Linked DNA regions of Tamandua tetradactyla. The protein of the gene in region 1 purifies or fractionates together with the protein of each later gene. This does not show direct contact. Links are inferred from orthologs where the notes say so. Each region holds a gene or a part of one and is shown in the gene's direction. Other genes may lie near its edges.

Region 1 (15,740 bases):
CACCTAACATACAGATAGATGTTGGTTTCTACGTTCCATTCCTCACCAAAAGAAGCCTGGGCTCCATGGAGAAATGACTGATTCTGGGGTTAGGGCAGGGAAAGCACAAGATGAGTTGGAACATCTCGTTGTGTCAAAAAGTAAGAACATGTTGTTCTGATTTGCTAGCTGCTGGGATGCAATATACCAGAAATGGAATGACTTTTTAAAAGGGGAATTTATTAAGTTACTAGTTTACAATTCTAAGCCCATGAAAATGTCCAAATTAAAGCAAGGCTATAAAAATATCCAGTCTAAAGCATCTGGGGAAAATACCTTGGTTCTAGAAGGCTGATGACATTCAGGGCTTCCCTCTCAACTGGAAAGGCACATGGTAAACATGGCAACATCTGCTAGCTTTCTCTCCACGTTTCTTGTTTCATGAAGCTCCCCCAGGGGCGTTTTCCTTCATCATCTCCAAAGGTCTCTGGCTGCATGGGCTCCCACGGCCCTGTCTCTCTCCAGAATGTTTCCTCTTTTAAAGGATTTTCAGTAAACTAATCAAGACCCACCTGGAATGGGTGGAGCCACATCTCTGAGAAGATAATCTAATCAAGTTCCATCCTATGGTGCTGGGTGGGATTAAAAGAAGTGGTTGCTCCCACGAGATTGGATCAGGATTAAACCATGGCTTTCCTAGGGCATATAATCTTTTCAAGCCGGCACACAAATTAAAAAGAAATAAGATGAGAATATGTCAAAAGGACACAGAAGTCACCTTGATGGGGTTCCCACTGGCCCAATCTGGGAAATTTTGAATATAAAAGTAAATAGTGTGTAAAGAACTAGGGCCCTGGCCCTGCGCCCTCCTCCATTTTAAGAGCAAATCACTGCATGAAACTGCCTACATGAAGGGGAAAGATATTAAAGGTCAAGAATGCAAAACACTTATCCCCAAATCACTGCTGGTAACCAACTCTTGTGAGACTCTGCTGAATTGAATCTCATGAAAGTCTCCTGAAACTCCATTGTAACCGAATTTCCCAAGTTTTGTTAAGCTCTATAAGCCACTATCTTGGCACACCTCTCCCCACCTCTTGGTTTTGGACAGAGTGCAAACTTCCATTTCCCAACCGTCTACCATTGGGAAAAATTATTCTCCTGTCTGTAAATCCGTAATTAAAACCCATGTCTAATTTTTTGTCCGGTGTGTTCTTTGGTCTCAGGGTTGTGCTGGGCTGGAACATAATGATAATAGCAAATTCTAATTTTTTGAATAAAATAAGAACCCATAAGTCCAAACTGGTATAAATAAATGATTCAATTGAAAATATGATGAATGGATCTTTACGTACTTTCTAAGTATCTCCCCACAAAATACTTTTAAATTGCAAATGGAAAATGAAATAACTTTACAGTAGAGGAGACTGGTTGACACCATCTTAAGTGAGCAGAGTTAATATTATGAGTAACAAATTGAAATGGGACAAATTGAAATTGTGTGCCACCTGAGAGTATACAGTGAGCAGAACACAGCATTATACCTGTGATATTCCTGTCAAAGATGCATAACCTGAAGCTGATTTGGAAACATTAAATAAACTCAGATTTAGTAACATTCTACAAAATAACTGGCCTGTAAAATGAATTGTCAAAATTATGAAATTCTGATACAAAAATGATGAGCTCTCTGCCCAAAGTGTATAACAGCCAGTCCATGACATGGGAGGTTTAAAGAGAAAAAGAGTTTATTGCTAGGCAGAAAGCAGGTGATCAGATGTCTATGGGCCTAAAAATAATCTGTCTCCCTGAATCTAAGGCATTCAAGGATTTGTTTTTGTTTTTGTCTTTGGCATGGGCAGGTTTCAGCAATTAAACCCAGGTCTCTGGCATGGCAAGAAAGAATTCTGCCATTGAGCCACTGTTGCATTGTCCTCAAATTTATGGATTCAAATAAAGGGAGATGGAGTCGTTACCATCTCAACAGCAAGTATAGGCAGAAACAATTTAGAAATGTAAAGAAATGGAACTGTGCTAGAACCAAGTTAATGGTTAGTTCTGCACTGATTCCAGGCCCTTCACTAATAAACATGAGGGGCTGTCTATAATGATCATAAGACTCTAAAGTTGAAAAATCAGATAAATGGGTACAATTGAGGGTCAGTCACAAGGTTTTAATCATAAGGGCATATGATAAAGGCTATACAATTATTATTAGCAATCAAGGCAGCTGGATTACAGTTTAGAGATTTCAGATATTTTCCTCTGTCTACTCTAATATACCAGAAGGTTAAGAAGGAATATCTATATAAGGTTTCAGTAATCATAATCATCCCCTAAATCCTAATATCTCGTTACAAGTCAAAGTAAGACTGAGGAACTGCTCCAGATTAAAGGAGACTAAAGAGCCTTGACAACCAAATGCAACATGTGATTCTGGACAGTATCCTTTTCTTATAAAAAATATTGAGACAATTGGTGAATTTAAGTGAGGTATGAGGATTATATGACAATAATTTCCTGATTTTGATGGCTGTATTGTAGTTATTCTGGAAATGCCTTATCTGTAAGGAATACTGCAGTCTTCAGGGGTGGTAGAGTGTCAGGTTAGGGGCAAAAAAGAATTCAGAGCAAAAATAAATTATTTGGGGTGACACCTTGAAAGTTCTGAGAGGAAATGATTTCCAACGTAGAATTTCATACCCAGCCAAACTAAAATAAAGAAATTTTCAAAGACTCAAGTTCTCAAAGAGACACTATCTCCCATGCATCCCAAAAGCTCCTGAAGACATGCTGTACCCAAATACAGCACGAAACAAGAAACTGGAGTATCTGAAATGCAGGAGTAAGGGGTCTGACTCAGGAGAGAGGCCAAAAAGAGGAGGTTCATGTGACATGGAGGGCAACTAGTCCAAAGTGTAGTGGTATGACTCAAGAGACAGACCAGTGAGGATGGTCAGCGGCAAGGAATCTGATGTCACCAAACTTATCTTGAGGACAAAATTTTGGATAAGTCTGACCCAGATTCTTATCTGTATCTGGCCTACTTCAATCATATACTAATGAAGTTCCCCCTGCTATAGCCAGGGTCAGCTTGCCACTCCTTTCACCCCAAGAGAGTTGTGCTTTGCCCTCTCCCGAAAGCTGGAGGTAGACAGAGAAATAGGAAGTACAAAGCAGCCCGTTTCCAGACCATAATCCTGCTGGGTGACCTGCCCTAAGAGCGCCAGGTGTCCTGAGCGCTGGGACCTGGCTGTTTCCTAAGACTCTGGCTGGCCTAGGCCACTGGCTTCCCCAGAGGGGCACTTGCAAATCTCCCAAGGAAGCTCAATTCAGGCTATGACCCAGAGCCTCTGCTCCTCTTCTCTTGGGAGCCTTCATCCATACAGGTGATGCTTTCTTTTTTAGATTTGAGCGTGCGTATCAGGTTTTGTAATAATCACATTCACATCTATTTATCTGAAAATAGTCATTGAGAAAATGATATATATATATATATATATATATATATATATATATATATTTTTTTTTTTTTTTTTTTTTTTTTTTTAACTTGGGCAGGCACTGGGAATTGAACCCGGGTCCTGTGGCATGGCAGACAAGCATTCTTACCTGCTGAGCCACCATGGCCTGCCCAAAAATGATATATTTGATTGAGGAAATAAAAAAGAAAGAAGTAGGTTGGGCAAGTTATTTAATCGCTTTAGATTCAGCTTCCACATCTATAAATGGTGGCAAAGAAGCCTTCTCAGAGCTGCTGGAAGAAGTAATTGAGCTAATGTAGATATAATGTGTGATCCAAATTAAAGGCTCAATTAGTAGTAGCTCTTTTTAAAAGACTAAATTTAATAAAGTAATTCCTTTAGTGTGTGGGTGTGTGTGCATGGGTGTGTGGTGTGTGTGCATATATGTGTGTGAGGTGTGTGTGTGTGTGTATTGGGGGTGTAGGTGTGTATATGTGTGAGGTGTGTGTTTTTGCAGTGTGTACAAAGTGCAGTGAAGGTCGATTAGGGGCACAGCTCTGTCTGCTGAGGTGCTGGAAGGTTTCCAGAGAAGGTGACTTTTAAACTTTTGCAGAAGCAATGTGCCTGGGACCCTATGAGCAGTGGCAGAATCAGAGTGCTGGGAAGCTGGAAAAGTTGATGCCTCTTCTATATATTTTTATGTTTTACTGTGGAAAAGTTCAAATGTTTACAAAATGGAGAGACTATATATATATCAACTACTCCAGTAGTTAGGTTCAGGTGTCATCTTGGCCAGATAATGGTGCCCTGTTCTTCTGTTGCTGTGGATGTAAATCATCAGCATGTGAAATTCATCCATGGCTGACTGCATCTGCTATTGGATAAGAGGAGTGCCTTCCGCAATGAGTGACGGTTAACTTAATTAGCCCGAGGCTTAAAAGAAGTCAGAAGCTAGACAAACAGCTCAGTACAACCCAGCAGAGCTCAGACAAGCCCAGCACACCTCAGCTCAGAGCCAGCTCAGACTCAGATGTTTGGAGAAAGGAACTGCCCTGGGGAAAGCCATTGAAACTAAGAAGCTGAGAGAGAAGCTTGCATCACCTTGTGCCTTCCCATGTGACAGAAAGATCCAGATGATCTTTCAAACAGCTCTAAATTTGTACCTTTATAAAGCCAAAAAAAATTGTTTCTCTAAGTTTGATATTGGGTAATTAGAAAAGCATGACAAGTGCTCAGGAAAAGGGGAACTTAGGTGCTAGGGTTATTTGGAGGAGACTGATTGCTGTGTGTGTGTGAGAGAGAGATGTTGGGGAAGGTTTCCCAAGGGTAAATCCTGAACCAAGTCCTGAGAGAAAGCAATTTAGGGTACAGAGTTCTTGCCCTTCATCTGGGCAAAAGGGATCCCATCCTAGGTCCAAGCTTTAGAGGCCGTTTTGTCCCTTTTCCTGTTCAAGTAACTCCCCATGGGAAGCGGTGACTTTTGAAACCGAAGGGACAAAGGGACATGTCCATCAGAGCAGGCTTCGTGCTTCGAGACCACCCCAGAATTCCCACCCTCCCAGGGTGGATTGGGCTGCAGGTGTGTGCAACCCAGGCGGGAAGAGTGATCACAATGAGTGGTGTTTGCGGAATTGTGGACGGAGTTTTGAGCTAGGTCTGGATGTCCACATGCATGGATGGGAGACCCTAGAGAAGGGGTTGGCTCTCTTGATCGCTACCCGTTTAGCTGGGGCTGAAAGAATTACAGTCAGAGAATTCTAAATTTGAACCTGGATTTTCAGGTTTCAGGAAGCACTATCTGTTAAAGGAGGAAAGAGAGATCATATTTTTTCTAGACGTTGCTGAGCAGGAAAAACCCGCATACAAAACGTAGGCATTTTAGGAACCGCCTTCCCGAGTCCCACGAAACTCCTAAACCTACTGAATCCCGGAGTAGTGAGGAGCTGCAGCTCGCGGAGGGCGGGCCAGGGAGGGAGCGCGGAACTGCGTGGATGGAGACCGCGGGGAGACCGCCTTCAGCGCGGAGGGGTGGGGCGAAGGGTGGGCGGGACGGAGCGTCTCAACGCTTGGGGGAGGAGCTGGAGGTGGGCGGGGTCTGCTGGGGCTGTAGCCTACGTGCGCCGCGCGCGGGGGACGGTGCCTGGCGAGGCCACGCCTCTTCCGGGATGCCGCACCGCCTCACCTCTTGCTTGTGAACCAACGTGTTGGTTGGCTCCGGGTGTCTCAACTTCAGGTTTGGTGATCCGACGGGCTGATGGCGGCGGAGGTGTTGCCAGGTGCGAGGTGGATGTATTGTGGGGATCGCAACGAAAGCCAGAGAGCTGTACTAGGTAAAGACTGAGGAGCCAGAGCAAGACCCCCTCCTTCCGGCTTTCGGTATCTGTCTAGTCCTACTGCCTGCTGTACGGGCCCCCTCCCATCTTGACCAGGACCCCTCAAATCTTCATCGTTACCTGGGGTCTGTCATCCAGCCGTCCTCTGTCCCGGCCTTCCAGCTGGATGAAGTCAATCCATTTGCTCCCTGCCCAGGGCTGTATCCAAAACCCAGACACCTCACTCATCTGCCCCATTTCCCTCTTTGCTCTGGGCGGGGATTTTCTCTATCTCTCTAGGTCTGGACCAGGCTTCTGCTGTCACCTTCCTCTCCCCAGGGAGATATTCTCTCCTGTCACAGACCCTCCCCAGAGCTCCCTTCACCTCCTTATCCCCTCTTCCCAACTGTGCTGGGATCTCCTTCAGTTCCCTTTAGGTCGGGGCCTGGGCTCCCCTGCCATCCCTGTTCCTCCAGTCACTCCCAAATGACATCCCAGTTCCTCCTCTCATGTGGGTCCTTCTGTTCTCACCCCGTTCTTGGGCTACAATCTTACAGTCCAGTTCACTAATGGGAAGCTGCGGAGTCCAGGCAGCCTGCGCTTTACCTTGTACAAGAGCAAAGATTCCACAAATCCCAGGAAGACTCATCATCGGATCCTGGTGAGTATGGCACTTGCCAATTGCCTGTCCTCTGCAGACTTTAGGAGGCCCCTTGGATGTGGGTGGTTGTGGGAGGGAATGAGGGGAGAAAAAACAAGGAACAGCAATTGGGCCTTTGAAGAATTCTTAGCCCTAGCTACTTGGGGTGTGGGGACAGGCTTGGTAACCTAGGTTTAGTACTTTTGGTGAAGTGATGACCATTCATTTGTTTGTTCAATAGGTTTTTTTGAACACCCGCTACAGCCTTGTGCTAAATCAGACCTTGCCCCACTTGAAGGGAACTAATAATATAGAGCAGAGTTTCACAACCTCTGCACTATTGACATTGTGGGCCACATAATTCTTTGTTGTTGAGAACTGTCCTTCCTTGCTTGGGTGGTAGCATCCTTGACTTCTACCCACTAAGTAACAGTAACAACACCCCCCTCTCCACCTCCATTGTGATAGCCGAAAATGTTAGACATAGCCAAATGTCCTCTGGGGTGAAGGTAGGTGTTCTAGTTTGCTAGCTGACAGAATGCAATATACCAGAAATGGAATGGCTTTTAAAAAGAATTTAGTAAGTTGTTAGTTTACAGTTCTGAGGCTGAGAAAATGTCCCAATTAAAGCAAGTCAATAGAAATGTCCAATCTAAGGCATCCAAGGAAAGATACCTTGATTCAAGAAGACCGATGAGGGCGGGCCACAGTGGCTCAGCAGGCAAGGATGCTTGCCTGCCATGCCAGAGGACCCGGGTTTATTTCCCAGTGCCTGCCCATGTGAAAAAAGAAAAAAAAAAGGAAGACCGATGAAGTTCCGGGTTTCTCTCTCAAGTGGAAAGGTACATGGTGAACACAGTCAGAATTTCTCTCGCATCTGGAAAGCCATATGGTGAACATAGCGTCATCTGCTAGCTTCCTCTCCAGCACTCTGGGACGCATTTTCCTTCTTCATCTCCAAAAGTCACTGGCTGGTGCACTCTCTGCTTTGTGGTTCTGCAGTGTTCTCTGCTCTCTTGTTCTCTAGCTTTTTCCAAAGTGCTTCTTCCAGTAAAACCAATTAAAAACTCACCTGGAATGGGTGAAGACGTGTCTCCACTTAATCGAGTTTAATACGCACATTTAATTGAGTCACAACTCCATGGAGATAAGCTAATTCAAGTTTCCAACGTTACTGAATAGGGATTAGAAGAAACCATTGCTCTCACAAGGTTGATTAGAATTAAAACATGGCTTTTCTAGGGTACATAAACCTTTTCAAACTGGCACAGTAGGTTAAAAAAAAAATGCCTCACCTAGAACCATTGCTCTAGAGGGAGAGGTGAGACCTGGATGTGAAGGACACTCATATAGGACAAAGCTCAGGGCTTTAGAGAGAAAGAGCTACAGGGCAGGGTAAGTTTTGGAAGAGGAGGAGAGCTCTCTGCTTGGCAGAATACCTGCCTGGAGGAGAGTATATTACAGTTAGCCCTGAAGGATTGAGGAGGGCTTGACAGCTGAGGTGTGGTATTTCAAGTGAAGAGCATAGCAAGGAGAAATGCAGTGGCTGTGACTGGGGAGTAAATCAGCCATTTTCAATGTCCTGAGAGTATATAGAATAGTCATAGGAGAAAAAGGGATAAAGAAGGGATTGAACATCACTTGAGCTTTAACTGCCTTCCTGAGGATAGCTCAGGTGGTCCTACTGAGGCTGTCCTGAGCTCCAGGGAGAGGGGGCAGGTAGCTAAATGCACAGGGCACACTTGGGAACACAAGACAGCAGCCGACCCTTGGTAGGCCAGTGGGGTGGGAAGGGAACTGCAGGGGACGAGCAGTGGTGGTGCTAGAGAGGTCACTAAAATTCAGAGATGCCACAATTTCCAACCTCCCCATCCAGGGCAGGGGGAGGCAGAGGACACAGAATGTGCTGTGGTGGCCAGGTGCCCCTGGCAGCACACTGGGAGGTGAGGGGAGATGTATTTTTACTCAGTAAATTTTCTTTCGGTATCTTAGCTTTGTTTAATAAAGCAACATAAAGATCTTCTGCACTATTAAAAAAAAAAAAAGAAATTTGACTTCCAGCCAAAGAAGTTGCTTGCAGAATCACCTTGTTGCATGCGTATATGGGCTGGGGAGTGCAGGGCTTCTAAACCAACTGTGTGCAACTCCTCCAAGAACTTTTTTTGTTTTAATTTTTAAATTATTTTTATGTTATGTATATTTTACCACCATTAAATACATTCATTAAAAAAATTGCACCAGGAAAGAGGTTCTGACTGGAGAGCTGGATTTGGGAACAATGTATTATATGTGATAGGTCAAAATGGGGGAATGGATAAGAATGCCTAGGAAGCAAGTGTACAGGAGAAGAGAACCAGCTTTAAAAGGAAAACTGGAGAAATGTGAAAGTCAGGACTAATGATAGAGGGAGGAATTGGAGAACAAAGATGAGGGATACTCAGAATTAAGGCAGAAAAGAGCTTAAGGATAGAGAATATAATAATAGGAAAACATGATGCAAAAAGTCCAGGAAAAGTAAGGATGTAAAAAAAAAAAATTCTAGCAAGGCCAAAGATTTACAGTTCTCAAGATTTCTGGATAATGTCATTATGATTTAGACCTAGTTTCTTATCATATTATACAAGGTTGAATCAGAGACAACACATAATTTATTCTTTCTTTGTCATATATCCTTTTGTTCATGTTTTTAAATTATTGCTATATGTTTGCATCCATAAAAAATAGTATTCTTTTATGTTTTAAATTTTTATATATATTGTATCATATACACATTCTTCTGTAACTGCTTTCCTGCATGTGAATTTTTTTCCCATGGGTCTTTATTTTTTATTTTTTTATTTTCAGTGTTAAAAATGTGAAGCATTTGGAAGTCGTTACTTATGAAGTCATTTACATACTCTAGCTGCAGAGATGCAATATCTAGTTCATTTCTATAAATGAGTACAGAATTCCTGGGCCATGTGATTTGTAGTTTGCTCTCTTTACCAGAGTCGTAATAGTGAAATCATACTATATCTATCCTTCTGTGGCTGAATTATTTCACTCAGCATTATAGCCTCTAGGTTCATCCGTGTTATCCATATGCTTCAGGACCATGCTTCATCTTGATGCATAATATTCCATCATGTGTATATGCCATGTTTTGTTTATCTGCTCATTAGGTGGTAGGCACTTGGATTCTCTCCATCTTTTGGCAATTATGAATAGTGCTGCTATGAACATTGGTGTACAAATGTCTGCCACTGCTTTCAGCTCTTCTGGATATATACCTAGGGTTGATATTGCCTAGTTGTAGGACAGCTCGATATTTAGTTTTCTAAGGAACCACCAAACTGTCGTCCATAGCAGCTGTACCATTATACCTTCTCACCAGCATTGAATAAGTGTTCCAGTTTCTCTAGTCCTCTCCAACATTTGTAGTTTCCTGTTTGTTTAATAGGTGTGAGATGATATCTCGTATTTTTTATTTGCATTTCCCTTATAGAAAATGAAGGTGAGCATTTCTTCATGTGCTTTTTAGGCATTTGTATTTGCTCTTTGGAAAAATGTCTATTCTATTCATACCTTTTGCCCCCGGGAATAACCCAGATTCACATAGTGGGGCTGGACTATCTCCCAGAAGCCCTCTAGTTCTAATCCTAGAGGTTCTGGATTCTAAACCATTTTTTTTTTTTTTTTTTACTTTTTTACTGTATAGTATAACATATATACAAAGCAAAGAAATAAAAAAGCAATTCATATCTTTAGCACATTTTATAATTGGGTTGTTTGTTCTTTTGTTGTTGAATTGTATGATTTTTTTGTATATACAGGAAATCAAAACTTTTCCGTATGTGATTTCTAAATATTTTCTCCCACTGAGTTGGCTGCCTCTTCACCTTTTTTTTTTTTGACTTTTCTATATTTTTATTGATAGAACAATATAAAACATATAAACATTCTTAACATACAAACATTCCATACATGGTGTACAATCAGTGGCTCACATATCATCACATAGTTGTCGATTCATCACCATGATCATTTTTTTGAACATTTGCATTACCCAAGAAAAAGAAAGAAAAAAGAAAAAACTCATACATGCCTTATCCCTCCCTCTCACTGACCATAATATTTCCATCTACCCAATTTGTTTTAACCTTTGTTCCCCCTATTATTTGTTTATTTCTTATCCATATATTTTTTTTCCTCTTCACCTTTTTGATAAAGTCTTTTGAGTTGCAGAAGCATTTGATCTTGCGTTTCCATTTATCTATGTTTTCTTTTGTTGCTTGTGCTTAGGAAGCTACGTCCTGTTACTAGGTCTTAAAGATGTTTACCTACATTTTCTTCTAGAAGCCTTATGGTGCTAGTTCTTATATTTAGGTGTTTGATCCACTTTGAGTTATTTTTTGTGTAGGGTGTAAGATGGGGGTCCTCTTTCATTCTTTTGGCTATTGATATCCAGTTCTTCCATGCCCAATTATTGAAAAGACTATTTTGTCCCATTTCAGAGGATTTGGGGGCCTTGTCAAGAATCAGTTGACCATAGATTTGGTGGTCTATTTCTGCACTCTTGATTCGATTCCACTGGTCAATGCTTCTGTCTTTGTGCCAGTACCATGCTGTTTTGACCACTGTGGCTTTATAATAGGTTTTAAAGTAAGGGAGTGTTAATCTTTTAAAGTCAGGGAGTGTTATCCTAAAGCTTTTGTAAATGTAGAAAAAGGAGACCCTTTGCTTAATATCTTTCAACGTTGGTCATAAATGGAGCTTTTTTCCCCTTTACCTTTTAGGCAGCTGAAACAGATAGACTTTCCTATGTGGGAAACAATTTTGGAACTGGAGCCCTCAAATGCAACACTCTATGCAGGTAGCGTGGGGAGAAGGGGTAACGGGAGAGGTGGGGAGCAGGGTGGCGGTGACAGCACTGGCACTCTTGTTCTTGGTCTTTATCCTATGAACTGTGGGAGAAATCTTGGGAGGTTTACCATATCCCTGTGTCCCCACATCTAGGGGTCCTCATACCAACCTGCAGACATTCCTGAAACGGAATGATGATTTCTATTTGTTGACTTTCTTTAAACTTCATTAACTTGTAAGGTTCTTTATTTATATCCTATATTTCAAAAGGTAGTGCTCTCCACTAATTTGGAATGTGTGCGCAGTAGGCCAAAATTTGCCTCGTGTTTGCCTTGGTACTAACTGCTAGAAAAGGCTTTGGTAGGGTTGAAAGCTCTGGGCTGGGAAAGGGAAGCTCCAGGCTTTCATTTAGCTATTCCACTGACTGACTGAGTGACCCTGGGAAACCCTGCCCTTCACTGACCCCCAGCCTCTCCCTCTGTGCAATGAAGACTGTGTGGACTCAACAGTCCATAACTCTCAAGGGCGGGCGTAATTGAGACAGAGTCTTGTGATATACCCAACAGTAAACCACAAACAAGGCCCTGCCCCATCATACCCTAATAGAATTGAGATTGAGGCATGTATGCTTATGAGTATTAACACTATATGCCTCACAAAAATTCTCTAATTCAGAAAGCTCTTCTCCCCATGATTAACCAGACTGGATTTGTATTTGCCACCTTAAAATTTATGTGTGGGGCGGTGCAGCGGTGGCTCAGTGGCAGAATTCTCGCCTGCCATGCCAGAGATCCAGGTTCGATTCCCAGAGCCTGCCCATGCCAAAAAAAAAAAAAAAAAAAAGAAAAGATTATATGTGCAATAAAAATTTTAGTGTAATTCTAGATTCTAATACCCAAAAGGATTTCCTGTCATAGCAGGGAGTCCAGGTGTTTTTCCAAAACCTAGTCATATCCTCTCCTCTTCTTTTCCACTCCCCGCTCCCAACATAAAGAAGTGCTGCTATTGGGGATTCATCGCTACTCACGGGCAAGAGATGTGTTTCTCACATGTACTGGGGAAGAAAGAAGGTTGAGGGCTTTTAACAGGAGAAAGAGAAATTGTTACAAACAACATCTTTTTGGTTCTTTTTCTTTTTAAACAATCATCTTTGGAATAATCCACTGTTGCTGATATTGTACTTTCTTTCTTCAGACATTTTGTGGGGGTTTTGAACAAGACCTCTGGTCAGATGGAAGTATATGATGCCGAGTTGTTCAATATGCAGCCACTGTTTTCAGGTAGGCCCCGGTCATGAAGGGTCATAGACACTTATAAGCACTGTTCAGGGTTTGCTGAATGAGTTGGTCTGAATTTTTGATTTCCAAAGCACTTGTTCTAGTTTGCCAGCTGCTGGAATGCAATATACCAGAAACGGAATGGCTTTTAAAAGGCAGAATTTAATGAGTTGCTGGTTTACTGTTCTAAGGCCGAGAAAATGTCCCAGTTAAAACAAGTCTATAGTAATGTCCAATCAAAGGCATCCAGGGAAAGATACCTTGGTTCAAGAAGGCCGATGGAGTTCAGGGTCTCTCTCTCAAGTGAGAAGGCACATGGTGAACACAGTCAGGGCTTCTCTCAGCTGGAAGGGCACATGGCGAACACAGCGTCATCTGCTAGCCTCTTCTCCTGGCTTCCTGTTTCGTGAAGCTCCCCGGGAGGCGTCTTCCTTCTTTATCTCCAGAGGTCGCTGGCTGGTGGACTCTCTGCTTCGTAGTGTCACTCTCTTTGAATCTCTCATTCTCCAAAATATTTCCTTTTATAGGACTCCAATAAACCAGTCATGACCCACTCAAATGGGTGGAGACATGTCATCCCTAATCCAGTTTAACAACCATTCTTGACTAAATCACATCAACCAGGGAGATGATCTCATTACAGTTTCAAATATACAGTATTGAATAGGGATTATTCTACCTTTATGAAATGGGATTTATATTAAAACATGGCTTTTCTTAGGGGGCATACTTCCTTTCAAACCAGCATAGCACTTTCAGTCATTTTTTTAAAGGATGTCTTTCTGCCATGTTTTTTTAATTTGAAAAAGTTCAGGAAATATTTATTGATGATCTACTGTTACCAGGCAGTGAGCTAGGGGCTATGGACGCAAGCAAGACACACGCAGATCCTGTCCTCACAGTCTTGACAGACTTGAGAATCAGAAATCCCAAGTTGTGCAATAAAAGCTGAATATTACAGAGCATGTCAGATATCAGATTATTTTCCGTTGAAGACCTTTCTTTTTTTTTAATTTAAAAAAATTTTTTTTTATTAATTAATGGAAAAAAAGAAATTAACCCAACATTTAGAAATCATACCATTCTACATATGCATTCAGTAATTCTTAACATCATCACATAGATGTGAAGACCTTTCTTAATTCTTTTTTTTTTTCACACAGCGGCTAAACCTTTTTTTTTTATTTTTTTTTTTGCATGGGCAGGCACTGGGAATCGAACATGGGTCTCTGGCATGGCAGGCCATTGCCTGCCCTCGTCTAAACCATTTTATATTCCTACCAACAGTGAATAAGTATTACAATTTCTCCACATTCTTTCTCCAACATTTGTAGTTTCCTGTTTATTTAATAGCAGCCATTCTTATAGGTGTGAGAGGATATCTCATTGTCTTCTTAATTTGCATTTCCCTTATAGCCAGTGAAGATGAGCAGCTCTTCATGTGCATTTTAGCCATTTCCATTTGCGCTTCAGAAAAGTATCTGTTCATTTCCACTGCCCATTTTATAATTGGGTTGTTTGTTCTTTTCTTGTTGAGTTGTATAATTTCTTTATGTACCAAGGATATCAAGCCTTTATCCAATACATGGTTTCCAAATATTTTCTCTCATTGAGTTGGCTGTCTCTTTACCTTTTGTTTATTTATTTATTAAACATAACAACATACAAACACAAACATTCTTACCATATGATCATTCCATTCTTGATATGTAATCAGTAACTCACAATATCATCACATTTCTTGGAACATTTGCATCAATTCAGAAAAAGAAATAGAAAAAAGAAAAATTTATTCATACCATACCCCTTACCCCTCCCTTTCATTGATCACTAGCATTTTAATCTACTAAATTTGTTTTAACGTTTGTTGCCCCTATGTATTTATTTTTAATACATATGTTTTACTCAGTTGTCTGTAAGGTGGATAAAAGGAGCATCAGACACAAGGTTTTCACAATCACACAGTCACATTGTGAAAGCTGTATCATTATACCGTCATCATCAAGAAACATGGCTACTGGAACACAGCTCCACATTTTCAGGTAGTTCCCTCCAGCCTCTCCATTATACCCTAACTAAAAAGGTGATATCTATATAATGCATAAGAATAACCTCCAGGATAACCTCTCGACTCTATAATCTCTCAGCCATTGATACTTTGTTTTGCCTCATTTCTCTCTCCCCCTTCCTTTCTTAATTCTTAACTGTTTCAGTTAGGGTGGACAGTTTCAGAATCTCTGGTAGGTGATGGAAGTTGCTTATAGCTTATACAGTAACTTTCATTTTAATGAAAAATCTTGACACTGTTTGCTATGGGAGGAAATCTATTTTCCCCTTAATCTAGTGGAAAAAGTTGCATTGCTTCCCTGCTTTGGCATCTTAGGAATGCTTAGGACTAGAGTGTGATCTCTTCAGAAATGATGAATAATAGATCAGATTCAAGGGGCTTTTATTTCCCTCATCTCAAAACTTGAGTCCTTAGTGATGCTGTTTTCAGGTAGGTCCAGTCCTGAAGGGTCACAGAAATTTGTAAGAACCACGTGGGGTGGGGGTGGGGTATGCTAGATAAGGAAAGATTGTTAGAATCATTGTGACGCTTAGTTCTGATTTATTCCCTCAAAGAAGTGGTTCCACTCCTTTGGAGAATCTAATAATTATCTGGATCTACTTCCCAGAAATATAAAAGCACATGAGATTTTGCATATAATCTTTTTATTTTTGGGGGGGGAGGTGCATGGTCTGGGAATCGAACCCGTGTCTTCCACATAAAGGCGAGCATTCTACCACTGAACCACCTGTGCATCCCAATGCATAAAATTTTAAAGGAATTGAGTCTCGAAATCTGTTCTAGTTTGCTAGCTGCCAGAATGCAACACACCAGAGACAGATTGGCTTTTAATAAATGGGGACTTATTTTGTTAGTTCTTCAGAGGAAAGGCAGCTGACTTTCAACTGAGGTTCTTTCTTACGTGGGAAGGCACAGGGTGGTCTCTGCTGGCCTTCTCTCCAGGCCTCTGGGTTCCAACAACTTTCCCCAGGATGATTCCTTTCTGCACCTCCGAAGGGCTGGGCTGAGCTGCAAGTGCTGAGATGAGGAATGCTGAGCTGCTTGGGCTGTGCTATGTTTTGCTCTCTCATTTAAGCACCAGTCAATTAAGTCAAACATCATTCCTTGCAGCAGGCACGCCTCCTAGCTGACTGCAGATGTAATCAGCAACAGATGACA
Region 2 (15,688 bases), on another chromosome or scaffold:
ACACGCAGCAAGAACACCTGCCCTCCGGCCAATGACCCCTCGCTCCCAGCACATTTATTTACTTCCACAGGGTGCCCCTAAGGTAAAGTTACTTGACATTAGTCGCCAGTTGTTTACCACCCCTTTCTTCTATTAATTGTGGGTTAGGGTCCCATCCCCTACCCACACCCCAAGGCAGGCTTCCTGCACTTCCTGCAGGGTCGGAGGTGCCCACCCCTGAGCCCACCGAGGTGTGTGAGGAGCCGAGTGAGACCCCCGTGCAAAGTGAGGAGGCCCCCTGTGGTAGTTAGGTTCAGGCAGGTGTCAACTTGGCCAGGTGAAGGCACCTAGTTCTGTTGCTGTGGCCATGAGCCAATGGTATGTGAACCTCATCTGTTCCTGATTACATCTGTAGTCGGCTAGGAGGGGTGCCTGCTGCAATGAATGATGTTTGATTTAACTGGCTGGTGCTTAAATGAGAGATTCAACACAGCACAGCCCAAGCAGCTCAGCATACCACAGCTCAGCACTTGCAGCTCAGCCCGGGCCTTTGGAGATGCAGAAAGGAATCACCCTGGGGAAAGTTGTTGGAACCCAGAGGCCTGGAGAGAAGGCCAGCAGAGATCACCCTGTGCCTTCCCATGTAAGAAAGAACCTCAGTTGAGAGTTAGCTGCCTTTCCTCTGAAGAACTAATGAAATAAATCCCCTTTTATTAAAAGCCAATCCATCTCTGGTGTGTTGCATTCCGGCAGCTAGCAAACTAGAACAGATTTGGTACCAGGAGTGGGGTGTTGCTGCAGTTTGCAAACATCAGATATGTTGGAACAGTTTTTTGGATGGCTAAGGGGAAGATTTTAGAGGAACTGAGAAGAGAAGGATGGAGAAGTCCTGGAGTGCTTGAAGAGACTGTTGGCGTAAATGGAACCACTGCCAGTCTGGACAAAGGGGACACAAAAGGGACAAATTGGGGAGTTTGCAAAGTGAGGACCATGGAAGCTTGGGTCTGAAGCCAAGAAACCTCGAGGAGAGTGGACCCACCCATATACATGGAGAGGGTGAGTTTACCCTGAAGGGCGAGGATGAGCCTCCCACCTTGTTGCAGTGGAAGAGTTGTGCAGCTTCAGGCCTTGGAGAAGGTACAACACGCTCCTTGGGGACTGGGGAGAGCCTGGCTGCCACCACATGGAGGGGTTGAGCGTGTGCCCCGGAAATGGCAGAGAGCCAGGTGTGGCCTTGATGCCTGGAGAGAGTGGAGCCCAGAGGTGGTCTCCTCAATGTCCCCAGAGGTTGATTCAGAAAGAGGCCGGCCACTGCACAGGCCCTTGGAAAGGGTCGGTCTGCCACTTTCTAAAGCTGAAGGATAAATGACTTTCAGACTTTGAAATCCAATGGTCTTTTCCCTTCTAGTTTCTCCCCATGGAAATGAAAACCTGTATCCTGTGAATATCCTCCTTTGCATATTGGCACCAGACAACTTGTTTTGAGATTCACAGGTCCACAGTCAGAAGAGAATATTTTGCACCTTAATATTGTTTAAGGTGATGCAAGTAGTTGCCAAGTTGACAAGGGGTGGACATGTGGTAGTTAGAGTCAGTTGTCAACTTGACCAGGTGAAGGTACATAGTTCTGTTGCTGTGGACATGAGCCAATGGTACATGAACCTCATCTGTTGTTGATTACATCTGCAGTTGGCTAGGAGGTGTGCCTGCTGCCATGAATGATGTTTGATTTAATTGGCTGATGCTTACATGAGGGACTCAATGTAGCACAGCCCAAGCAGCTCAGCATACCTCACCTCAGCACTCGCAGCTCAGTCCAGGCCTTTGGAGATGCAGAAAGGAATCACCCCGGGGAAAGTTGCTGGAACCCAGAGGCCTGGAGAGAAGGCCAGCGAGATCACCCTGTGCCTTCCCACGTGAGAAAGAACCTCCGTTGAGAATTAGCTGCCTTTTCTCTGAAGAACTAATGAAATAAATCCCCTTTTATTAAAAACCAATCTGTCTCTGGTGTGTTGTATTCTGGCAGCTAACAAACTAGAACACACCCCAAGGCAAAGGCCAACAGGGAGATCTGGGGGGGTCTAGGCCGCAAGAAGCTGACTAGGCCAGCTCAGGACCGGGAGAGGCTGGCATGTGCCCTCCCCTCTCCTGGTGGGCAGCAGGGTACAGAGAAGGGGTGCAGAGAAGAGATGCAGAGAAGGGGTACAGAGAAGGTATAGAGAAGGGTGAGAAGAAGGGATGCAGAGAAGGGTACAGGGGCAGTGTGATGGTGGCTCAGTGGCAAAGTTCTCACCTGCCATGCCAGAGACCCGGGTTCGATTCCCGGTGCCTGCCCATGTAAAAAAAAGAGAGAGCGAAGGGTACCCTTGTGCAGACAACGGTGGAGAGAGGGGGTGCAGAGAAGGGATTCAGAGAAGCTGGTGGCCATTGGTGGTGGCTCCAGGGCTCAGGGAAGCCTCTGGGTTCTCTGCCCTGATTTTACTTTTCTCCCCTTGTCATAATCCTAACCTCGTCAGCCTTTCCCCTGGCCTTGCGATGAGTTCCCTTGAAAACCGAAGGTAAGAACTGGGCATTGAGGGCAAAGGGTGGAGGTCATAGATGCCTGCAGGAGGGTTTGGGCCTGGTCCTCAGAGGGCAGCTGCCACGCAACCCGCTCACAGTGGCCCCCATCGCCCAAACTAGGGGTTTTCAAGAAAAAGGAGAAATCCAGGTGTGTCTAGGAGACCTCCCGATTCCAAGCTGGCAGTTGACTCAAGGTCTCGGCTTGAACTTGCTCAGGTCCCTCTGCCAGGAAGCCCCGAGCAAGGACCCATGACCCCCGCAGCCCCAGGCTGCTGGTGAGGACCCTAGACCAAGGCAGGTGCAGCTCGGCGAGCCCAGGGCAGGCCCCGGCACCTACCTGGCCAGGCCGAGGTCCCTCCAAGACAGCACGTGGGGCAGCCTCCGGCCTGGGCCCCAGCAGCTCCCAGCGGGCAGCAGGCCCCACCCCGGCCCGGCCCCCCAGGCTGAGCGGCTCTGAGGCGTCTGTGAAGAGGTGGCCCGGGCGAGCGCCAAGACAAACAGGCCCGATGTGTCCGCTCCCGCCCCCCTGGGGGAGGGGCGCCACCAGGCCCCAGGCCCTGCAGGCTGGCCTCTCCCCCACAATGAGCTAGGGGGCCAGACCGGGCCAGAGACACCCCCTTGCGTCTCCCCTCGCCCCTCCACCCGCCCACCTGCAGGAAGCCCGGGCAGCCCCGCCTCTGGCACCCACGTGGGGACGTGTGCCCATCCGCCCCAGCCCCAGGCCCCTCCGAGCGGCCGTGGCGGTCTCGGGGTCAGGCTGCAGGGCCAGCGGCAGGGGCACTTCCACAGGCCATCAGCCTAGCATGCCCCGCTGCCCGCAGCTCCCCGCCGCTGCCCAGCCCCGGGCCACCCACACCGGGTGGGTGTGCCAGACCATTGACCACGTGTGCCACCAGCTCTGCAGGGGCTAATGGGAGGCTAGCAGTCACCCCCAGCCCTGGGGAAGCGCGCGTGCAAGAGAGCATGTGTGTTCCTGAATGCGTATTACGTGGGCACACCCTCACCATGCCGTACCCGCCCCACGCGAGAACACGTCTGTCCAGAGCAAGCATGGGGACCTGGGCAGAGGGGGGCAAAGGCTAGCGGGCAGCACCAGGGGACACGCACGGGGGCACAGCTGGGGGTCCAGAGAAGATGCAGTCCCTGGCGGCCCACTCCCAGGCTCGCAGGGGCCGGAGGGACATTCACAGTGGGCAGGTTCCAGCCCCATGGAGCTGTACACATGGGGAAACTGAGGCCATGGGCCAGGGCCTCCTCCTCGCCGCCCCCCCACCCCCCAGTGGCTGTTTCCAGGGCAACGCTGCAGGGTGGGAGGGGCTCAGCAGCTGTCCACTTCCCCAATTTTCCCTTGTCGCCTGCCCTGACATGACCCGCCTCTGGCAGGAAACGTGGTCAGCAGGCTCCAAACCACAAGTGACCACAGGCCCCCTTGTGCCCCAGCCACCACCGGAGAGTCCAATGACCCACCTCGGAAATCCAGCACCCGGCCCTGCAGACCCCAGCCTCGAGCCTCCCCAGAGGGCCGCCTCTGCACTGCCACCCCACACCTGCCCGAGAACCCCGTCTACCCTACTAGCAGGCACAGCCCCCCCACCAGCCAGTGTCTGAGCTCCCACAGCTCTCTCCCGGCCTGGCCCTGGCTCCCACTGCACACCGGAGGGAGCAGGGCAGGATTCTGCAACGCCCATGGGGACACACACCCCCAGGACCGAGCGGGTAGCAAAGAGGGAGGAAGGACTGTCGGGTCAGGGCTGGCGACCGGCCAGAGCCACCACAGAGTTGGAGTGGGAGAAGCATGAGCTGCGGGACCGCTCCAAGCAGAAGCGGTTGGGGACACTGGGCGGGTCCCAAGGCCTCTCCAAGGAAATCAGGGAAGGGAAGCCCACCCCACCATACCCCACCCCCAACACACACAGATTCCAGAATTCCAGGAATGTCAACTTGGCGGAGGCCAGTCGGGCCACTCCCTCCTCTCCCTCCCTCTTCTCGCCTCACTCTCCTCCACATAAACAACTGCGCAGGGGCGATAGCAGGGGCGGAGAAGGCGCGGGGCTCCTCCTCCAGGAAGCCCTCCAACCCTTGTGCCCCACCTACCCACCCCCGGGGTCCACCCGGGTCCCTGACTCTCGCTCCAGCCTCCCTCACCTCCTTGCTCTGCAGCCTCCCCTGCCGCTGAGCCCGGTTCTGACCTCAGGCTGCCGTGACTCAAGGGTCCTCTCTGGCCCCTCCAGGGGAGACAGGATGTGCGTCCAGTCCTCCTGGGTGGAGGCGGCTGGGAAGGGAAGTGGCCTTAGCTCGTGGCTCTGCACGTGGCCTAGAGGGGGATGGAGAGGGCCACTGGGGAGGTGGAGGCACAAATTCCAGGCAACAACAGCCGGCCCAGCCCTACCCAAGCCCAGGAGACCCTTCCATCCCCTCCCACATCCAACTGAGTCAGGGTCCAGCTGACACCTGGGGTGAGACCGGGGGGAGGCAGGGACCCAACGCAGACCCCGTCCCAGGCAGCTCCAAGTCAGGCAGCTCCAAGTCGTGGGTCTTCTTTTACACACACACCCCCCACCGCCGGCCCGTCGCAGCCAGCCCAGCGTCCCCTCTTCCAGGCAGCCTTCCCTGCCTCCCCCGCACACTGCCCCGCCTGCCTCCGCCGCCAGAGGCTCGGCCTGCCCGGGCCACCCCTTCCCCTCCAGCCCCCAGGCTGCCCGTTCCCCTGGCCACGACGCTTCGGCCCGCCGGGCTGGGGTCAGCTGGCCCACGTCGGGGCTGCCCAGCATAGCCTGGCCGGGGGTCCCTTCCCCGGGACCGGAGCACTCGCCGCCGCGGCGGGGCGCTGCGGCGCTGGGGGCACCTCCGCCGTCGGGGCCCGACGCCCCAAACTCAGAGCCCGGGCTGGATGGCCGCGGGCGAGGGCCGGGCCCGGAGGGGAGGCGGGAAGACCACCGCCCGGCCCTGCCCCCGGCCCCGTGTGGCTGCGGCTCGGCTGCCCTCGGGACTCGAACTCGCGCCCTCCAGTGTGCCCGGCTGTGGTACCGGCCCCGGCTCGGCTCGGGGCGGCGGGGGGCGGCGGAGTCCGGGGGCGCCTCCCGGGCGGTGGGGGGCGGTACCTGCGCGCCCGTCCGCTCCCGCCGCACGGCTGTCACTCCCGCCACACGCGAAACGCGAGCGCCGCCGCAACCCTTGCGGCCCAGCTCGGACGCCGTAGACCTGAACGTACCAAAGCGGCCGCGGGGGGTGCCGGCTATTCCCGTCGCGGCCACGCGGGCCCCGGGAGCCCCCGCCCCGCGCAGAGAAGACTTGCCAGACGTAGAGTAATTGCCGCAAGGGCGGTCGGTGGCGGGGGTGGAGACGGGTGGTGGCAGCGGCGGGTGGCGGCAGGGCGCGGGGACGTCCCCCCCTGCGCCAGTGGGCGCGCCCGAGGCGGGGCCTGCGCGCCGCGGGCGGAAGCGCCTCCTGAGCCGTCGAGCGCAGCCGATTGTCAGACAGCCTGCAGGACCGGTCCGCTGCCTGCCGCCGCCATGATCATCCCCGTGCGCTGCTTCACCTGCGGCAAGATCGTCGGCAACAAGTGGGAGGCCTACCTGGGCCTGCTGCAGGCCGAGTACACCGAAGGGTGAGGCTCGGGCCCGCGGGAGGGCGCGGGGGGCGGGGTCTCTCGTGGGGGCTCGCAGATCCGGGTCCTCCTCGTCCGGGGCCTTCTCGTCCGGGGCCCTCCTCGTCCGGGTCCTCTTCGTCCGGGGCCCTCCTCGTCCCGGGTCCTCCTCGTCCGGGGTCCTCCAGACTAGCTCCTGGTTTGGGGGGGGCTGTGGAGCTGGGCAAGATGCCTCTAGGTATCCTCGCCGCGGGTCACCGTGGCCTTCTCATCCCCAGGAAATCCCTCAGCCTCTTCCCTGCCACCTGCTCCTCACTGCCTCTCCCTGACACCCCACCACCACCCGGCCACCCCTCCTCCGCCTGGAATGGCCAACTCTCCGCCCCACCAAGTCCTGCAAGCCCCGCTCATCCTTTTAAGAGGCGGACAAGCTGCCTGACCACGCAGCGCCCACCCCTCAGGCAGGAGGCTGGCCCCTTTTCTGTGCCTGCCCCTTAGCTCTGCAGTCAGCTCCTGGGAGCATGTCTGAGAGTCTGCCCCCTTGCCAGCCGTGTGTCACGATCCCATTTGAGCCCTCGGGCCCACATGTGTGCCCAGCATACAAGGGAGTTGCTGGGGGGAGTGTGCCGGATGAATGAGGAAAGTGAATGGATGGCGGGGCACTCAAGCCAGGCCTGAAGAGGTCTGTGCAGGCTGCTGTGTCCCTGGGATGCTCTGAGCAAGGGGACTCCTGGTCTTGCCTCCCACTTTCCCAAGCTGCCATCTGTGCATTGGAGCCGATGCTGTGTGGGCTCTTTGGAGACCTTGATGGCTAGAACACAGGTCCCAGGGAAGTCCTGACTACTGATTGGCATAGGGATTAGGAGGTGTCACTCTCTCGAGAGGTGTTTCTTTTCCTGATTTTGGGGGAGCAGAGCTCAGGAAAGTCCCCTTGGTAGCTGTGTGATCTGTGATCTGTGTGTGGCACCTTTGTCAGCCAGGGACCATGTGGGTCTGCTGGGGTCTGCTGGCTGCAGTGATGTGCGTTCCTGTGTATGGAGGGAAAACTGCTAAGGAGCCAGCCCCAAGGGGAGAGGGGTGTGTGGGCTCTAGCAAGGCAGCAGAGTCCCGGAGAATGAGCCATGAAGACCACACCACAGCCAGAGAAGGCATAAGCCTTGTGCCTCTAAGCTCCCCCCGATACTCTGGAAGTCCCGAGAACCACCCCAGCCCTGGGTGAACGAGCCCAAAGCAGAGGCAGAAATGGGGCTTGTGTGGGAGCAGCAGACTGGTGGTTGGAGGGTGCAGAGGGGGCAGCCCCGGGGGCTGAGGAGTGGAGTAGGCGGGAGAGGTGGTCCAGGGTGGTCGCTGGGGCGTGTGGACTGTGCAATGCGCATGACCACAGCCTGCTCATACCACCTGCCCCTACCCGCAGGGACGCCCTGGATGCACTGGGCCTGAAGCGCTACTGCTGCCGCCGCATGCTGCTGGCCCACGTGGACCTGATCGAGAAGCTGCTCAACTATGCTCCCTTGGAGAAGTGACCGCATATGACAGCTGGGGGTGGTGCGGGAGCCAGGCCCTAGTGCAGCCTGGTGGACTCCGAGCTCTGGAAGATGTCAGTAAAGGTCTCTGTGCAGGATGTCCTGAGGCCTGGGACTGGATTTGTGTAGCTCAGCCCAGAGTGTGTGCCCGGTGTCCCCCAGGGCCAGGATGTGCCGTAGGGTAGGGGCAGGGAGGCCAAGTCAGTCTCAGGGCATCTCTGCTGCTTTGTCCTGAGGCCTCTGGGTGCTGATGAGTAAGCCGGCTGGGGGGAGGGTCAGGGCCTGCCCTGGGTCAGTCTGAGTTTTTTGGGGGCGGGACTGCATCCCCCAGGTGGAGGGGGGATGCTGGCCGAGACCTGCCTGGCCCTCGAGGCCCAGCACCCACTCCCCCAGCTTCCCAACTCCAGGGTGATGCCCCAGACACTTGCCTTGGCCTCTTCCCCTCCCTGACCCAAAGCCAAGCAGTGGGGCCTGGCGGTTTCCCCCACCCAGCAGCTCCTGCCTGGGCCTCCCCACAGCAACCAGAGGCAGCTCTGGGAGCCACATACAGGCCCCAGCACTGAAACCTGTAACCCCCTCCCAACCCACCCCCACTCCTGGCTTCCCTGGGGCCCGAGCTCCTTCCCCCTTGAGCCCCTGAGCTCTCAGCTTAGGCATCAGCTCCTTGCTTGGCCTTGGGGACATGCACTCTGCCTCCCTATCACAGCACAGGAGTGAGGGTGCTGGTGATGCTGCCGGGAGCAAAGCAAGTTCATTCAATCTCATCTGCCGGATCCACAAACATTTATTGAGCGCCCACTTCGTGGCAGAGCAGCTCTGGGCATGTGGGACAGAGCAGTGGATAAAACGGGCAGATCCCTGCCCATCCAGGGAACATCCTCAAGAGGGAGACACAGGGACACAGTGTTTCAGACAGTGTTGACTGTGCAGTGGGGAAACTAAGGCAGGGGACTCCACTGAGCAGGCAGGGTGTGAGCAGTCGGCATGGCCAAGACAGTGGGTGGAGCACAGTGTGGGGCAGGCCATGGCCACCCTGTGGGGACCAGCAACCTGGGCCCTGTGCCTGCCCGGCACCGCTCCCTCTCCAGGGCCTCAGAGCACCCCAGGGCAGACGCTAGGACTAAGCGTGGGCATCGGGGAGCACCCTACCCCAGAGGTGGCCTGTGTGTGGGGGGGTGCTCTGTTGTCAGGACCATCCCCCCTGCTGCAGGGGCGCTGGAGGCCTTTCCTTGCCCCAAGACTTTGGAGTACAGCGAAAGGCACGTGGAACTGTCTCTGGGGAGGAGAGGCAGGTGCCAGGTCACAAGGCCAGGCCATCTGGCAGTGTGGGGACCAGGTGACAGGCACTGCTCCCCCTGGGCCCAGGGCAGGGGCAGGGCATGTCTGTCAGTAGTGTCAGCTCAGTAGCTCCAGAGGCAGAGGGCCGGGCCGGGCGGCCTCAGTAGTGCTCCAGCTTCAGGCTCTTGTACAGGCAGCAAGTGAAGATCATGCCGAAGACCTGAGGGCCAGACGGGGTGAGCGCCAGACCCCCACCCCCACCCCACCCCCCGCACCCCCGCCACCTCCGCACCTGCACACAGGCGATGCCGACCCCCACGGCCCCAATGACTCGCAGGTGCTCCTGGATGAAGGTCTCCAGCTTGGAGATGCAGCCGCCCTGGGGAGGGGGTGGCTGAGTGTGGCCGAGGCTCCGGGCGTCCCACACCCCCGCACAGGCGCCAACCTACCTCCACCTTGTAGATGTTGGAGGCGTGGTCCCGTTGCCCGCAGCCGGCCACTATGGTCTTGCAGCAGCTGTCGGGGACCACGCGGTCACCCGCCTGGCCCGAGCGGATCCACTTGCTATCCCGCCAGTCCTGCGAGTTGTTGCTGCCGCAGCAGTGAAACTAGAACAGAACAGATGGCTGAGCCCAGGACACGGCGTGTACACACGCTCACCTGTGCCGAGAATGCACCTGCACACGAGCACACACCCACGCTCACCTGCGCCAAGCATGTACACTTGCTTACATGCACAAGAGCACACGTGTTTCTGCCCATTGTCAGGCACAGGTCCACAATCTCCCACGGGGCTACGTGCACACCCACCTCCTGCTGCAGCTTGTCCACGGCACTGGTCACGCCCTCGTGGCCTGGCTGGTGGTACCGCTTCGTCATGGTGTCCTTCAGGTTCTCCTTGAGCTCTCTGTTCAGCTGGGGAGGGGGAGTCAGGAGGTGAGCTTTAGCCTCAAAGTTTAACACCCCCAAGATGGGGCAGAATTGGGGGCAGGGGACAGATGGTAGCAGAGTTGGGGGTCGGGTGGGGGCCCAGGAGGGCCTCAGAAGCCAGAGGGGCCGGGTCAGCCGGAAGCTGAGAGGGACTGAGCCCCGGGACCTGGCTGAGGGAGGTGGGGCATGGGGCTTCAGCCTCCCCTGTGTACCCAAGGTAGGTGGCTTTGCTCCCCAGCCCCCTACCTCCAGGAGTGGAAGGCACAGAGCTCAGCTCTGGGGTAGGGTCAAATGGAGATGAGCGGGACCTGCGCATGCCTTGCACTGTTCCCCATGGCCTGTGCACGCCCCTCGCTCCCCCATGGCCTGTGCACACCCGTCCCCACCTCCGTGGCCTGTGCACACCCCGTCACTCCCCCATAGCCTGTGCACACCTGTTTCCACCTCTGTGGCCTGTGCACGCCCCGCCCCCACCTCCACGGCCCGCGCGGCCCTCACCTGCTGGTAGTAGACATAGGCCAGGACCCCAGCAATGATCTCCAGCAGGAAGATGAGGAGGAGCAGGATGAAGTACTGGGGGGGACAGACAAGGCTGGGCCAGGGCACAGACACCCGCACTCTGCGATGACACCAGTGCCCAGGCAACCCGTGGGGGACCGCCATGCCCACTGGCCCAGCGGGGACACGGCCGTGCAGAGGCCTGAGCACGTGCCTCCCCCTGCCCCGCTCACCAGCCGCAGCAGGTTCCGCCGCTCCTTGAAGGTGGCACAGCAGCCCAGGACGCCAGTCCCCATGACGACAATGCCCGCCACCACCAGGATGTAGGCTGTGGCCAGGTAGGTGCCCGAGGCCAGCAGGCTGATGTAGTCGCTCTTCAGAGCCAGGGTCCAGATGCCCACGGCCATGACGGCCAGGCCAGCCAGCTAGGGAAGGGACATGGGGCGCCTGGGCTGGTGGGGGCCTGAGCCCCCAGGGCCGGTGGAGGCAGGGGAGGGGGTCTGGTGGGGGCCTGAGCCCCCAGGCAGGGGCTGGGGCAGGGGCAGGGGGTTGGTGGGGGCCCAAACCCCCGGGGCAGGGGCAGGGGCTGGGGCTGGGGCTGGGGCTGGGCCTCACCCAGAAGCAGCAGTTGTAGGTGAAGAGCAGATATTTGAGGCACACGGTGCCGCACGTCTCCTTCTCGCTGAACTCGCCCATCCTGGGGCTGGGGGGTGGGGCAGGCAGTGGTCAGACGGGAGGAGGGGACCCTGAGCTGGGGCCCTGCTGCCAGGGGAAAGCCTGGGAGGGAGTCTCCGTGGCCACCAGGACTGGAGTCCCTTCTGCCGAGTCACTTCCTGTGTGTGGGGGGGTGGCCTGGAGCCACCAGGGCCAAGCCCGAGGCCACGGCCATGCCCAGGGAGGGGTGCATAGAAGACTCCCCCACCAGCTGACTCGCCCACTCGGTGCCCCACACAGGAGCTCAGGCAGGTCCTCCCAGCATTCCCCAGGCCCCACGTCACAGGCCGGGAGGTTTGAGGGAGTGGGTGGAATGGACCTGCCCTTTGCTCACCGGGCGGCCTGGGGAGGCTCTCTGGGTCTATGGGGGGGCGGCAGCGCTCCCTCCCTCCCTCACCCCTCCCACTGGGCTGGTGGAGCCCCCTCAGAACAGGGCTGGGGTGTGATGTGCCTTCCCCCCTCACCCCAGACCTCTCCTGACCAGGAATGTACCTGGCGGGGTAGGGGCTGTGCGGGTTGGGGGACTGCCCCAGGCCAGCTGCCCGATCTAGCAGTGGCAAGGGGCGGGAGCTGAGCGCTGTGGCCTGGGGCGCCCTTTCCAGACAGGCCCGCCCCGGCGCTCCTGCCCCGCCCGGCGGGCGCTCACCAGGCGCGGAGGCGGCTCCGCAGACGTAGGTGGACGGTGGACGGAAGTCCTGAAGGCGCGCCTGGCGGGGCAGGACAGTCACCGGTTGCAGTGGCCAGTCCCAGGGGGCGCTGATGGCCCTCCCTGCCGGGCTCCGCCCCTGCCTGGCCAGGACCCACGGGAGGCAGAGGGATGGCCCGGGCCAGTGTTTTGGTCTGGGCGCGGCGGGCAGGGTGGGGCAGGAGACATTGCTGGACTGTCTGATCCTGGGAGGGCCTCAGGCCTCCTCCGCGTGCCCCCCCCAGGCCTCGGCCCCTGACCTGCCCTCCCCCCACCCAGAGCACAGCAGCTGCAGCCCCGGAGGGAATGCGGCTCCAGCACTGACAGGTACCCACACCTCTACTGCTGTTTTGGGTTCAGTTGTGTCCCCGACCAGCACCTCAGCTCGTGACCTTATTTGGAAATTGGGCCTTGTGGAAGGAGTTAGTTAAGATGAGGTCACGCTAGAGCAGGGTGGGTCCTCGGCCGCACACCACAGGTGAGGGGGGGTGGCAGGGGGCGTGAGAGGACCGTGGCGCAGGTCCGTCAAGGTGAAGGCAGCAGGAAGGGCCGCCCGCCGCACATTGTTTTAAGCCATGCATTGGAGACACTATTCCAGCAGCCCCAGGGATGCAACACAAGCACTGGGCTGGGGGCTGGGGGCTGGGGGCTGGGGGCTGGGGCCCACCCACGCTGCCCTGAAGGCCACCACCACACACCTGACCTCGAGGACCCACCGACCAGCAGCCCCTCTCCCCGGGACTTCCGGGCCAAGGCGCAGCCCCTGGGGACGGACAGCCTGGGGGCCTGGGCCTGCCAGAGACAGCCTGGGTGGCTTGGGCCTGCTGCCCCACCCCAAGGCCGGCCCCACCAGGGGACCCGGAGTCCGCCACCAGGCCGCGGCCGGAGTCCCCACCCCGCTCGGCCACCGCGATGAGGTCACCGCCGCCGCTTCACGTGCACGGGGCAGCGGGCGGGCCTGCGGCCACACAGGAGGGAGGACGCGGGACACTGCGCCGGGTGCGTGGACTCGCACTCCGTGGCCCCTGACCCGAAGTGGGGGCGCCAGACCTGACCAGGCAGCCGAGAGGCGCCCTCGCCCCGCGGCCCCTGTCTCCCTCCCGCCCTGAGATGGGCTGCGACGGATCCGGCGGGCGCGGCCTCCCACCCCCACCGTGCGGACAGCCGGGTCTCCCGCGCCCGGCCGCGCAGGGTCCTCGGGGCAGCCCCGCTCCCGCCAGCCGGGCCCCCCACCTGGCCAGCCCCGCCCGGTTGCGCACTCACCCGCCACTCTTCGCAGTCCGGGCCCAGGCGGCGGCTGCGGGGGCGGCGGCTCCCAGCGCAGAGAATGCGCGGCCCGGGGCTGACCAGTGGGAGCCGCCCGCCGTCCCGCCCCGCCCCCCGCCGTCCCGCCCCGCCCCCCGCCGTCCCGCCCCGCCCCCCGCCGCCCCGCCCCGCCCCCGGCCCCACCCCTCGTGCCGAGACTCTGGGCAGGCCCGAACTAGAGAGCGCGCCGGGGATCCAGGGTGTTAGGCGCTCGGGGGTCGAGCTGGGATCCCCGGGGAAGTCCGCAGCCCAGCTGGGGCGCCTCCCCTCCCCCGAGAACGAGGCACTGGGCCGGGAGGCAGAGCCCGGGCGGAAGGGGCCGTCTGGCCAGCCAAGGCTGCGCCGCGGCGTCCTCCAGCCCCAGCCCGCGCCCGCCCACCCCGGGAGCCACCTGCGCCAAAGCGCCGCGGGCGCAGGACGCGCGACCAGGCCGGGGGGCGCGGCGTGGTTCCTGCCGCGTGGAGGACGGCCTGGAGGGGAGTCAGGGGCGGAGGAGAAAGCACAGCGCCTCGTGCCAGCGGACGAGGAGGCTGACCTACGGCGGCCAGGCAAGACGGGCGCCCGCTCCCGGACCTGGCTCCGCACAGCCGGCCTGGCCCGCACCTGCCCTGGACGCAGAGGTGGCCCTGGGCCTGGCCGGCCTCCTGTGGGCTGAGCAAGCCCCGGCTGCAGCGCCCCCTGCCGGGGACGGGCGGGACCGCGGCGGGACCCGGGATGCTGGAGCTCCAGCTCTAAGGACGTGCGGGCCTGCAGCACGCGGACCCAGTGGGGTGCGTGTCACTTAAGTGTCACACGCGTGGCACAGAGTCACACATGCTGTGGGGCTCCAGGCGCACAGAAGGCTGAGGAAGTCGCGGTGCGTCACTGGGCTTTATTCGGCCCAAGAGAGTTTGTCTGCTGGTCACAGATGGGGTCGCCGGGGCGGGGGGCAGGACGAAGCCTGACCGCCCGGAGCGCCCGCTATGTGGGCCCCACCACACCACGATTCCACCCCCAAGGGGCAGCCTCTCCAGGTCACTCCCGGTGCGTCCCTCGGCGGGTCAGCGGGCGCTGGGAAGGTGCGCGGAGCCGCGCCTGGGGGCGCGCGCCCAGCTGCAGCAGCAGCAGGTGGACCCGGGCAGGTGCGCCACGGCCCGAGCCTTCCTGCGAGCTCCGCCCAGCGCCGCGGCCTCATAGGCGTCCCTGTCGTCCCGCAGCCGGGTGTTCAGCTCCCTGGGGAAGGGTGAGTGTGAGGTGAGCGGTTGGAGGAGGCAGCCACCTGGGGGCGGCTGCCGCTGAGGTGGGGCGGTAAGGAGGGATCTCCGCACACCTGAGGAGCTCCAGTTGCCGCAGGAGGCTGCGCTTCTCCTTCTGCATGTTCCCCGAGACCGCGACCACGTCCCTGCCAGGGGGAGCGGTGACCCGGACGCGGGAAGCTCCAGGATTCCCCGGCGGCCCAGCGCCCACCCCGCGCAAAGGATTCCCAGGGCGGGACTGGGATGGGCAGGGGAAGAGCTGGAGGAGGCCCAGAGTTGAGCCCCGGGCGTGCCCCCCAGGCACCTTTGGGTTTGCTCCAGGCGGCCCCGCGCGTCGCCCTCCAGCCTGCGGAGCTGCTCCTGCGCCCGGTCCAGCTGCGTCCGCAGCGCCTCGTTGGCCCGCCACAGCTGCGCGTTCTGGGCTTGCGCCTCTCGCTGCTCCGCCGCCCGGGCCCGCAGCTGCTGCTCCAGCTGCGGGGTCGAGAGCGGAGCGAGGCTCGCGGGGAACTCTCTCTCTCTCTCCCGACCATTCTGGGCAGGGGACGCTGAGGCCCGGGAACCTAAGGAGCCCAGGGTGACAGTGCCACGCACCTCGCGCTGCCGCAGGCCGGATCGCTCTAGCTCCTGCTCGCGGTTTTGCAGCTCCAGCTCCAGGCGGCCGCGGCGCTCCTTCCGGGGAAGGTCCTGGGCCAGGCGGGGTGTGGGATGGCACCTGAGCTCCGCGGACGGCCAGGCCACGCCGAGGGATGTTGGTGGGGTGGGGGGCGGCGGTGTCAGCGGGAGAAACGCGTAGCGGGCATGGGGATGAGACCAAGAAGGGCCTCACTAGATCCAGGGAGCTTGGACCCGCTAGATGCAGCCCTCGGGGGCGTGACCAAGTCGGAGAAGAGGCCAGAAGCGCTGGGGTTGAGGGGCCGGCGCGGGGCGGGGGTGGGCCCCACCTGACTTCGCAGGCGCTGGCGCTGCTGGCGGAGCTGCTGCTCCATCTCCTCGTACAGACACCGCACCTCCCTCTCGTGCTCGCTCTCCCGCCTTCGGAGATCGGAGGCCGGTAGAAGGCGAATCAGGCCCTCCCAGCGCTCCAGCCCCGGCCCCGCCCCTGCACCGCCCGGGCCCTCACCTCCGCAGCGCCTGCTCCAGACTGTCCCGCTCCCGGGCCGCCTCCTCCAGGTAGGCGGACGCGCGCATCAGGACGTCTTCGAAGGAGCCCAGCAACTCCGGGTGCTCACGCTGCAGGCGGGCCCAGAGCGTCCGCACCGCCCGCTGCCTGGAGGGGGCGCGCGAGGGACTGAGGCCAGATCCCGGGGAAGGGCAGCCAGAACGGCCAGTTGTCCACCACCCCTGAGGGGCAAGTCCCCACAAGCCCCGGTGGCCCTGGATGGGTGGGGACATT

What was found.
Region 2: the proteins of POLR1E (region 1) and POLR2L purify together in Homo sapiens (affinity purification with mass spectrometry; 3 studies listed by BioGRID and IntAct, with this or other methods). This does not show direct contact. The link is inferred for Tamandua tetradactyla from reciprocal best matches to the Homo sapiens genes POLR1E and POLR2L.

Annotation. Positions count from the first base shown.
Region 1 is NC_135328.1:57,713,425-57,729,164, reverse strand, and holds the start of POLR1E (DNA-directed RNA polymerase I subunit RPA49), read left to right. Parts: upstream 1-5,572; 5' UTR 5,573-5,697; coding exon 5,698-5,773; intron 5,774-6,312; coding exon 6,313-6,416; intron 6,417-11,170; coding exon 11,171-11,247; intron 11,248-12,431; coding exon 12,432-12,517; intron 12,518-15,441; exon of another isoform or gene 15,442-15,740. UniProt on the Homo sapiens protein: Component of RNA polymerase I (Pol I), a DNA-dependent RNA polymerase which synthesizes ribosomal RNA precursors using the four ribonucleoside triphosphates as substrates.
Region 2 is NC_135335.1:664,616-680,303, reverse strand, and holds POLR2L (DNA-directed RNA polymerases I, II, and III subunit RPABC5), read left to right. Parts: upstream 1-5,966; 5' UTR 5,967-6,053; coding exon 6,054-6,148; intron 6,149-7,541; coding exon 7,542-7,650; 3' UTR 7,651-7,748; downstream 7,749-15,688. Other genes in the region: CD151 antigen, read right to left, coding at 9,089-9,148, 9,221-9,307, 9,378-9,536, 9,739-9,843, 10,357-10,431, 10,590-10,781, 10,972-11,052; CRACR2B (EF-hand calcium-binding domain-containing protein 4A), read right to left, coding at 14,101-14,272, 14,370-14,441, 14,600-14,766, 14,887-14,979, 15,237-15,327, 15,416-15,562. UniProt on the Homo sapiens protein: DNA-dependent RNA polymerase catalyzes the transcription of DNA into RNA using the four ribonucleoside triphosphates as substrates.